2 linked regions of the Alligator mississippiensis genome follow. The protein of the gene in region 1 purifies or fractionates together with the protein of each later gene. This does not show direct contact. Links are inferred from orthologs where the notes say so. Each region holds a gene or a part of one and is shown on either strand. Other genes may lie near its edges.

What was found. Proteins that work in one complex are often made in the same cells at the same time.
Region 2: the proteins of EP300 (region 1) and ALYREF purify together in Homo sapiens (affinity purification with mass spectrometry, with the first as the bait; 3 studies listed by BioGRID). This does not show direct contact. The link is inferred for Alligator mississippiensis from reciprocal best matches to the Homo sapiens genes EP300 and ALYREF.

Annotation. Positions count from the first base shown.
Region 1 is NC_081827.1:97,652,506-97,656,251, reverse strand, and holds the start of EP300 (histone acetyltransferase p300), read left to right. Parts: upstream 1-1,187; 5' UTR 1,188-2,593; coding exon 2,594-2,687; intron 2,688-3,746. UniProt on the Homo sapiens protein: Functions as a histone acetyltransferase and regulates transcription via chromatin remodeling. Acetylates all four core histones in nucleosomes. Histone acetylation gives an epigenetic tag for transcriptional activation.
Region 2 is NC_081831.1:485,396-489,141, forward strand, and holds the start of ALYREF (THO complex subunit 4), read left to right. Parts: upstream 1-1,455; 5' UTR 1,456-1,490; coding exon 1,491-1,602; intron 1,603-3,746. UniProt on the Homo sapiens protein: Functions as an mRNA export adapter; component of the transcription/export (TREX) complex which is thought to couple mRNA transcription, processing and nuclear export, and specifically associates with spliced mRNA and not with unspliced pre-mRNA.

The sequences.
Region 1 (3,746 bases):
CTGCTGGGAAAGCGTTAGAGGTCGCAGAACAAAATCTAAACGCTTGCCCACCTCCGAGGATGGCTGGTTATCTTAAACACAACATTCTTTTTTAAATTAATATATTTCGTGTTCCAGGTCAAATCAGCCCAATCGGTTCCAAATGATATTGGCTGAGCAGAACTCAGCCGTTCCAAACCCCGCATGGACTGAGCAGGCAGAACTCAATCATTCGCAGCACCATGTATGGCGCTACAACCGGGAGCATCCTCCATCCCAGGGACTTCAGATCCGCCCACATCCATCGGCAGGCGTCCTACGTGCAGGCCCAAACCCGGAGGTCTTGGCAATCAGATGCCCCCACTTGATAGTTGCATAGTTGTTGGGGGCTGGAAGGGACCTTACAGATCACGGGGTCCGGCCCCCCTGCACTTGGGCAGGAAAGGAAAGGGTGCGTAGAGCGTCCGTCCGTACAGGGCACAAACCCAGGACCTTGGCGTTATTAGCACCAAGCTCGAACCACCTCAGCCCACACGAGATCTCAAGTAAGCAAAGCTGCCTCTCCCGGAGCAGCGAGCGAGGGCACTTTCTGCCTGGCCGCTCCTGCCGTGCTTGGCGTCCAAAGGCCGCAGGGAAGCAGGACGGGGCGACGCAGCGTGTGTGGGGCGGTGCAGACGGACCCCAAAACCCCCACAGGCTTGGGACCACCCCTGCGTGCGCAGAACCATGCGTGGAGCCCGGGCCCAGCCCTGCTGGCTCGTACAGGTCGCCCCCTCCGCACTAACGGGCTGCGCAGCCTGAAGGGAGCTCTGGGGGGCTGCTACGTGCCAAGGCTCTGGGGCCCCGCTGCAAGCGGCGCAGCCACCCCCTGCCTGACAGCCCCGGCATGACAACGGGCCTGCCCCAAGCACCACAGCGCTTTTCGGCCGACAGAAACAGAAAAGCCGAGCACAGGGAGGCTAGGAGGGGCTTTGGCCTCTCCTCCTCCTTCCCCTTTAAGGGGGGGCGGGGCGGAGGGAGTTTGCGGAAGGGAGCGGTGCACGGCGCGCGCTGAGTGGCTGTCGGCGCCTCGTGACCACCCCCCCGCCCCGCACCCCCCGGCGTTCCATTGTGTGCGCGAGCCCGGCCGCGACGCCAGGCCCCGCCCCTCACCCCTCAGGCCCCGCCCCTTCCCCCCCGCCTCTTGGCTCACTTCCGGCTGCCGCCGCCGCCGCTCGCTTCCCTCTCGGAGGACTCGGGAGAGCGAAGAAACAACAGCCGCCATTTTGTTTGTGTGCGAGCGACTGAGGGAGGGAGGGAGCCGGAGCCTGGGCCAGCGCCGGCCGCACGGGCAGAGCCGCACGGAGGCGGGGAGTGCGCAGAGAGAGGCGCCGGGACCCCCTCAGCCGCCCTCCTCCCCTCGCAGCCGGCAGCCGGGCAGGACAGCCCGGATCCCGCCCCGCGCCCGCCCCCCGCCGCCCCCCCCACCCCCCGGCCATGGCGGAGGCGAGAGGGAGGCTGCGCCGCGCCTGAGGGGCGGAGGAGGCCGGGAGTCGCCATCCCCGCGCCCCGCGGGGACAACCCGGCCCGCCCGAGCCCCGGCCTCGCCCGCTCGAGAGGGGGGCTGTAGGCAGAGGGGGGGAGGGGCCGGCTGCTTCCTCCTCCTCCTCCTGCTGCTACCGCCGCCGCTGCGGGGGGATCGCTCCATCTGCCCGCGCGGGGGGGGGCGCTGCCGAGACGCCGAGCGACGCCTGCCGCCGCCCCGGCCGGACCCCCAGCGCCGCCGCGGCTCCGGCGCCCGCACAGCAAGATGTGAAGCGGAGGCTCCTGGGACGCTCCTCATCCTCCCCGCGCTGCAGCCATTAGTGCCTGGCCCGGCTGGGAGCTGGGCGCCCCGCACACGCGCCGCCCTCCCCGGCCCCGCCGCGGGGCTTTTTCGCAGGGCGGCGTCGGAGGGGGAAGGCGCTGCTAGAGGACGGTGATTTTTTTTTTTTTTTTTCCCTTTCCTCCTCTTTTTCCCCCCCTCCTCCTTCTCTCCCCTCCTTCGCCCGCCTCCTTGTGGCGATGAGGAGGAGGAGGACGACGCCGAGGAGGAAGAGGCTGATGGCGGCGGTGAAGAGGCAGCGGCAGCAGCAGGAGGAGGAGACCCCCCGGAGGATGATGAAGATGATGGTGGCGGTGAAGAAGCACCAGCAGCAGCAGCAGTGCACCCGCTGGGATTAATCGGACACGGCCTCTGGCAGCTTGATTTTTTTTTTTAAATTTGATTTATTGTTATTAATCTTTTTTTTAAAAAAAATTGGCAGTGTTGTTGCTGGCCGGGGCTTTCCCAGCTGCTCTTCTCATCCGCAGCTGCCCTTTGGCCTGGGGGGAAAGGCTTCCCTTCTCTCCCCCCCACCCTGCTGCCTGCATTTGCCCCACGTCTCCGCTGCCACCCGCCTAGAGACTGAGCCTGAAGGGCAGAAAAAGGGGAACTTGCCCTGCTTTCATCTCCTCCAGATCCTCCTGCCTCTCTCTCCGTGTTGTTGTTCTTCAGCTGAATCAGGGCCCTGAGAGAAAGGGGCGATCTTGGGGTTCCCCCTTCCCTCCCCCCCTCCCCAGCCTCCTGCGCTGTTTGTCTAAAAAAGAATTAAAAATGGCCGAGAATGTGGTGGAGCCGGGCCCGTCTTCAGCCAAGCGGCCTAAACTCTCCTCACCGGCGCTCTCCGTGTCCGCCAGCGACGGCACAGGTCAGTCTCAGGGGCCCAAGCCCCCACCCTCTTACTGCCCCAGCTGTATACCCAGAGCTGTTTTTTCTCTCTCCCTTTCCTCTTACCTTCAGTTTTACTTCTTCCCTGCCCGCCCCCCCCTTTACACTCTCTTCCTTTCCCTTTCCCTCTACATTCCCTCCCTGCACCCCCTTTCTTTGCATCTCTTCTGTGCTAACATCACTGGAGGGTGATAATTGTTGTTACTTTTTATTTACTGGAAGAGCTAGAAACGTAAGGTGGTTGTCTCCTGCATTTGGCCATTTGCAGAAAAGCCTTAATTTACCCCTTTTTTTTCCCCCATCCATTTCATTTCGCAGCAGTAATTCTTTCAGAGATCTTTATTCTCTATCTCTGTTCCAGTTGCAGGCATAGGCAATAGTACACACATGCAGCATCTTCGTTGCATTTCTCTCCACTGTCTTTCTGTGTGTGTGTGCACGCATGCAAATAAACAGGGTCAGCCCATAGGGGCTGTTTTTTTTGGCTTGTATGTAAGGTTTTTACATAGCATTCAGATTTTTCTTAGCAAATGGTTTAATTCTCTTCCATTCTCAATTTCCCCCCCTCATTTCACTTTGATTATATTATTGACTTTTTAACTGTTCCTTTTCACTTTTTCTCTCTTGCACAAGGATCTCTAAAGATGAGGTATTCTGCTGTTTTCTTTGATTATTTCCAAACTTATCTGTCTCAATCTCTATTTAAAATAAAGATTATGGGGTATGTGGGTTCACCAAGAGCATTTATATCTTCATACAAACATGCATTATTTCACCTTATTTGCATTAAGAATCAATATGGAGCGCAGTTCATTCTGTATCTCCCATTTCTTTGCTGCTGAGACCAAAATGTCTGAAATTCCCATTTAGATTTACCAGGTAGAGAAGATGAAGAGGGTGTTCTTTGCAATCTTGCAAGGGTTTTTAATGATGGTGTTTTAGGGGGGGAAGACTACTCTGTAGAAATGTCACAACAGAGAAGAAATATCACTAAAGGATGCAAGTTTTAAGTGTCCCAATCCTCAGCAAACATGAATGA
Region 2 (3,746 bases), on another chromosome or scaffold:
GTGGGCAGTCAGCTCAGCTAGCGTGGGGACGGGCATCACTGCCAAGGCAGGGCCACAGGTCGCATCCTGCCACCTGGCTGCACATCCAGGAAGAGTCCTTGTCAACAGCATGGACTCAGTCGCCCCCTCGGTGTCTGTGGGTGGGCAGCCGCCTTCACAAGAGCTCCCCTGGGCCCACAACAGTAAGGAGCAGCAAGAACCATGAATCACAGCCCAGGGTTTATTGAAACCAATCCACGTACCAACACGTCGCAGCTGGAAATTAGCCGATGCTGCTGCTGCTTGGAGGCTGCCTGAAAGGAGCAGGTCTCATCAGGCCGGCGGCCGAGACTCAGAGAGCGCAGGATGCTGCTGCTGAGGAGCGTGCCCGGCCTGCAGCCCCTGACCCTCCAGGTCATGGCAGCATTGGCGCTCTTGCTAACGCTCAGAGCCAACAGCCTCCCACGGCTGCTAACATGTGGGAGCAGCCTGCTTGGATGCAGAGTGACAAGCAGCACCAGCAAACCTTCAGCAGCTGAGAGGACGCAAGAGCATTTGATCAAGGGAACAGGACATGGGATGCCCACACATGGAGGCACAGGAGGAACAGCCTGAGGCAGCTACTAGAGCCCTCCCAGAGGCCAGAGAAAGGTGGAGTCAGGCCAGGCCTTAGAGGGCTTTTCAGGGCACAGGCAGGGGACAGGTTCAGCTAAACTCACTCGGCCTCCTGGCACGTTTGAACAAGATGTTTCTGTCTGGGTCCGGGCAGAGCTGAGCCAGCAGTAGCAGCGCCTAAAACGTCAGGCACAGGGGTGTCCATGTTCAGTGCCCAAACAAGGACTCACATATTCGTGGAGACACTGATGGCTGCCACGGGAAGGGCAATATGGGATCCACCTTGTCCTGCTGCCCTTTCACCCAGGTGAATGGGGGCTGCACAGACCCTGTAGGCACAAGGCACAGGGCAGAGGAAAAGCCGACCAGCTCGGGCTGCACGGAGGGAAGAGGTGCTGTGTGGATGCGACTGCCACGGTTGGGGTCCTCGCACGAACGTTGGGAACATGTTAGACATGTAGCCACATCCGCACTGCTCACGGCAGCCGGGAGCTGCTCTGCGTCTGCGGGAAGTCAGAGTGTGTTGGGGCCTGGCCTGCGCCTGCTTGGTGTCCCTGCGAGTGCCTGGCACACGCGCGATGCCACACCAACGCTTTGCTGCTCCAGGCCGCAGGGAGAGGGAACCCGGAGGCCGAACTGCAGCCCAGGGCGCCGTCACTCCTTGAACTTCCACTCCTGCCGGCACATGGGGCAGTGCTGCTGCACCTGCTGCGAGTTCAGCCACTTGAGGATGCAGTGCATGTGGAAGCAGTGCGAGCACTGGCCCCACACCAAGGGGCAGTCATCGCCGGGCACCTTACCTAGGAGGCAAGGACAGCGGTCAGCAGGGAGCGAGCGCTTGGGGGCAGGGGCCGGGGAGCGGCGACTCACAGTCCGGGCAGCAGCCGTTGAAGGCCATGCGGCAGATGCCGCAGTTCTCGTCATTGGCCACCCACAGCCAGGACGCCACCCCGTTCCAGCTCTTGATCTTCACCTTCATGGCGCCGTGCACGGCCGGCTCCCGGGCGCCTGGCAGGGGCGGCACGGGGTCAGGGCCCAGCTCAGGCACCGCCACCACGTGCTGCCCCCCGGTCACATCTGCCCCCCTCAACCACGTGCTGCCCCCCCCCCCGGACTTTATCTGCCCCCAACACCCCCCGCGACCATGTGCTGCCCCCCCTGTCATATCTGCCCCCTCAACACCCCCCGCGACCACGTGCTGCCCCCCCCCGTCACATCTGCCCCCCTCAACCATGTGCTGCCCCCCCCCCCGGGACTTTATCTGCCCCCCCACCACATGCTGCCCCCCCCGACTTTATCTGCCCCAACACCCCCTGCAACCACGTGCTGCCCCCCCATCACATCTGCCCCCCTCAACCACGTGCTGCCCCCCCCGGGACTTTATCTGCCCCCCCCCACCACATGCTGCCCCCCCCGACTTTATCTGCCCCAACACCCCCTGCAACCACGTGCTGCCCCCCCATCACATCTGCCCCCCTCAACCACGTGCTGCCCCCCGACTTTATCTGCCCCCCTCAACACCCCCCGTGACCACATGCTGCCTCCCCGTCACATCTGCCCCCAACACCCCCCGCGACCACGTGCTGCCCCCCCCGTCACATCTGCCCCCCTCAACCATGTGCTGCCCCCCCCCCGGGACTTTATCTGCCCCCCCCCCGTCACATCTGCCCCCCTCAACCACATGCTGCCCCCCCCCCGGACTTTATCTGCCCCCTCAACACCCCCCCGCAACCACGTGCTGCCCCCCCCATCACATCTGCCCCCCTCAACCACGTGCTGCCCCCCCCCCGGACTTTATCTGCCCCCCTCAACACCCCCGTGACCACATGCTGCCCCCCCCGTCACATCTGCCCCCTCAACACCCCCCGTGATCATGTGCTGCCCCCCCCCGTCACATCTGCCCCAACACCCCCCGCGACCACGTGCTGCCCCCCCCCCCCCCCGGTCACATCTGCCCCCTCAACACCCCCCGCGACCATGTGCTGCCCCCCCAGTCACATCTGCCCCCCAACACCCCCCGTGACCACATGCTGCCCCCCCCGTCACATCTGCCCCCAACACCCCCCGCGACCACGTGCTGCCCCCCCCCGTCACATCTGCCCCCCTCAACCATGTGCTGCCCCCCCCCCCCGGGACTTTATCTGCCCCCCCACCACATGCTGCCCCCCCCGACTTTATCTGCCCCAACACCCCCTGCAACCACGTGCTGCCCCCCCATCACATCTGCCCCCCTCAACCACGTGCTGCCCCCCCCGGGACTTTATCTGCCCCCCCCCCACCACATGCTGCCCCCCCCGACTTTATCTGCCCCAACACCCCCTGCAACCACGTGCTGCCCCCCCATCACATCTGCCCCCCTCAACCACGTGCTGCCCCCCGACTTTATCTGCCCCCCTCAACACCCCCCGTGACCACATGCTGCCCCCCCGTCACATCTGCCCCCAACACCCCCCGCGACCACGTGCTGCCCCCCCCGTCACATCTGCCCCCCTCAACCATGTGCTGCCCCCCCCCGGGACTTTATCTGCCCCCCCCCCCGTCACATCTGCCCCCCTCAACCACATGCTGCCCCCCCCCCCGGACTTTATCTGCCCCCCTCAACACCCCCGCGACCACATGCTGCCCCCCCGTCACATCTGCCCCCTCAACACCCCCGTGATCATGTGCTGCCCCCCCCCGTCACATCTGCCCCCTCAACACCCCCCCGCGACCACGTGCTGCCCCCCCCCCCCCCCGGTCACATCTGCCCCCTCAACACCCCCCGCGACCATGTGCTGCCCCCCCAGTCACATCTGCCCCCCAACACCCCCCGTGACCACATGCTGCCCCCCCGTCACATCTGCCCCCAACACCCCCCGCGACCACGTGCTGCCCCCCCCCCCCGTCACATCTGCCCCCCTCAACCATGTGCTGCCCCCCCTCCGGGACTTTATCTGCCCCCCCCCGTCACATCTGCCCCCCTCAACCACATGCTGCCCCCCCCCCCCCCCGGACTTTATCTGCCCCCTCAACACCCCCCCGCAACCACGTGCTGCCCCCATCACATCTGCCCCCCTCAACCACGTGCTGCCCCCCCCCCGGACTTTATCTGCCCCCCTCAACACCCCCGCGACCACATGCTGCCCCCCCCGTCACATCTGCCCCCTCAACAC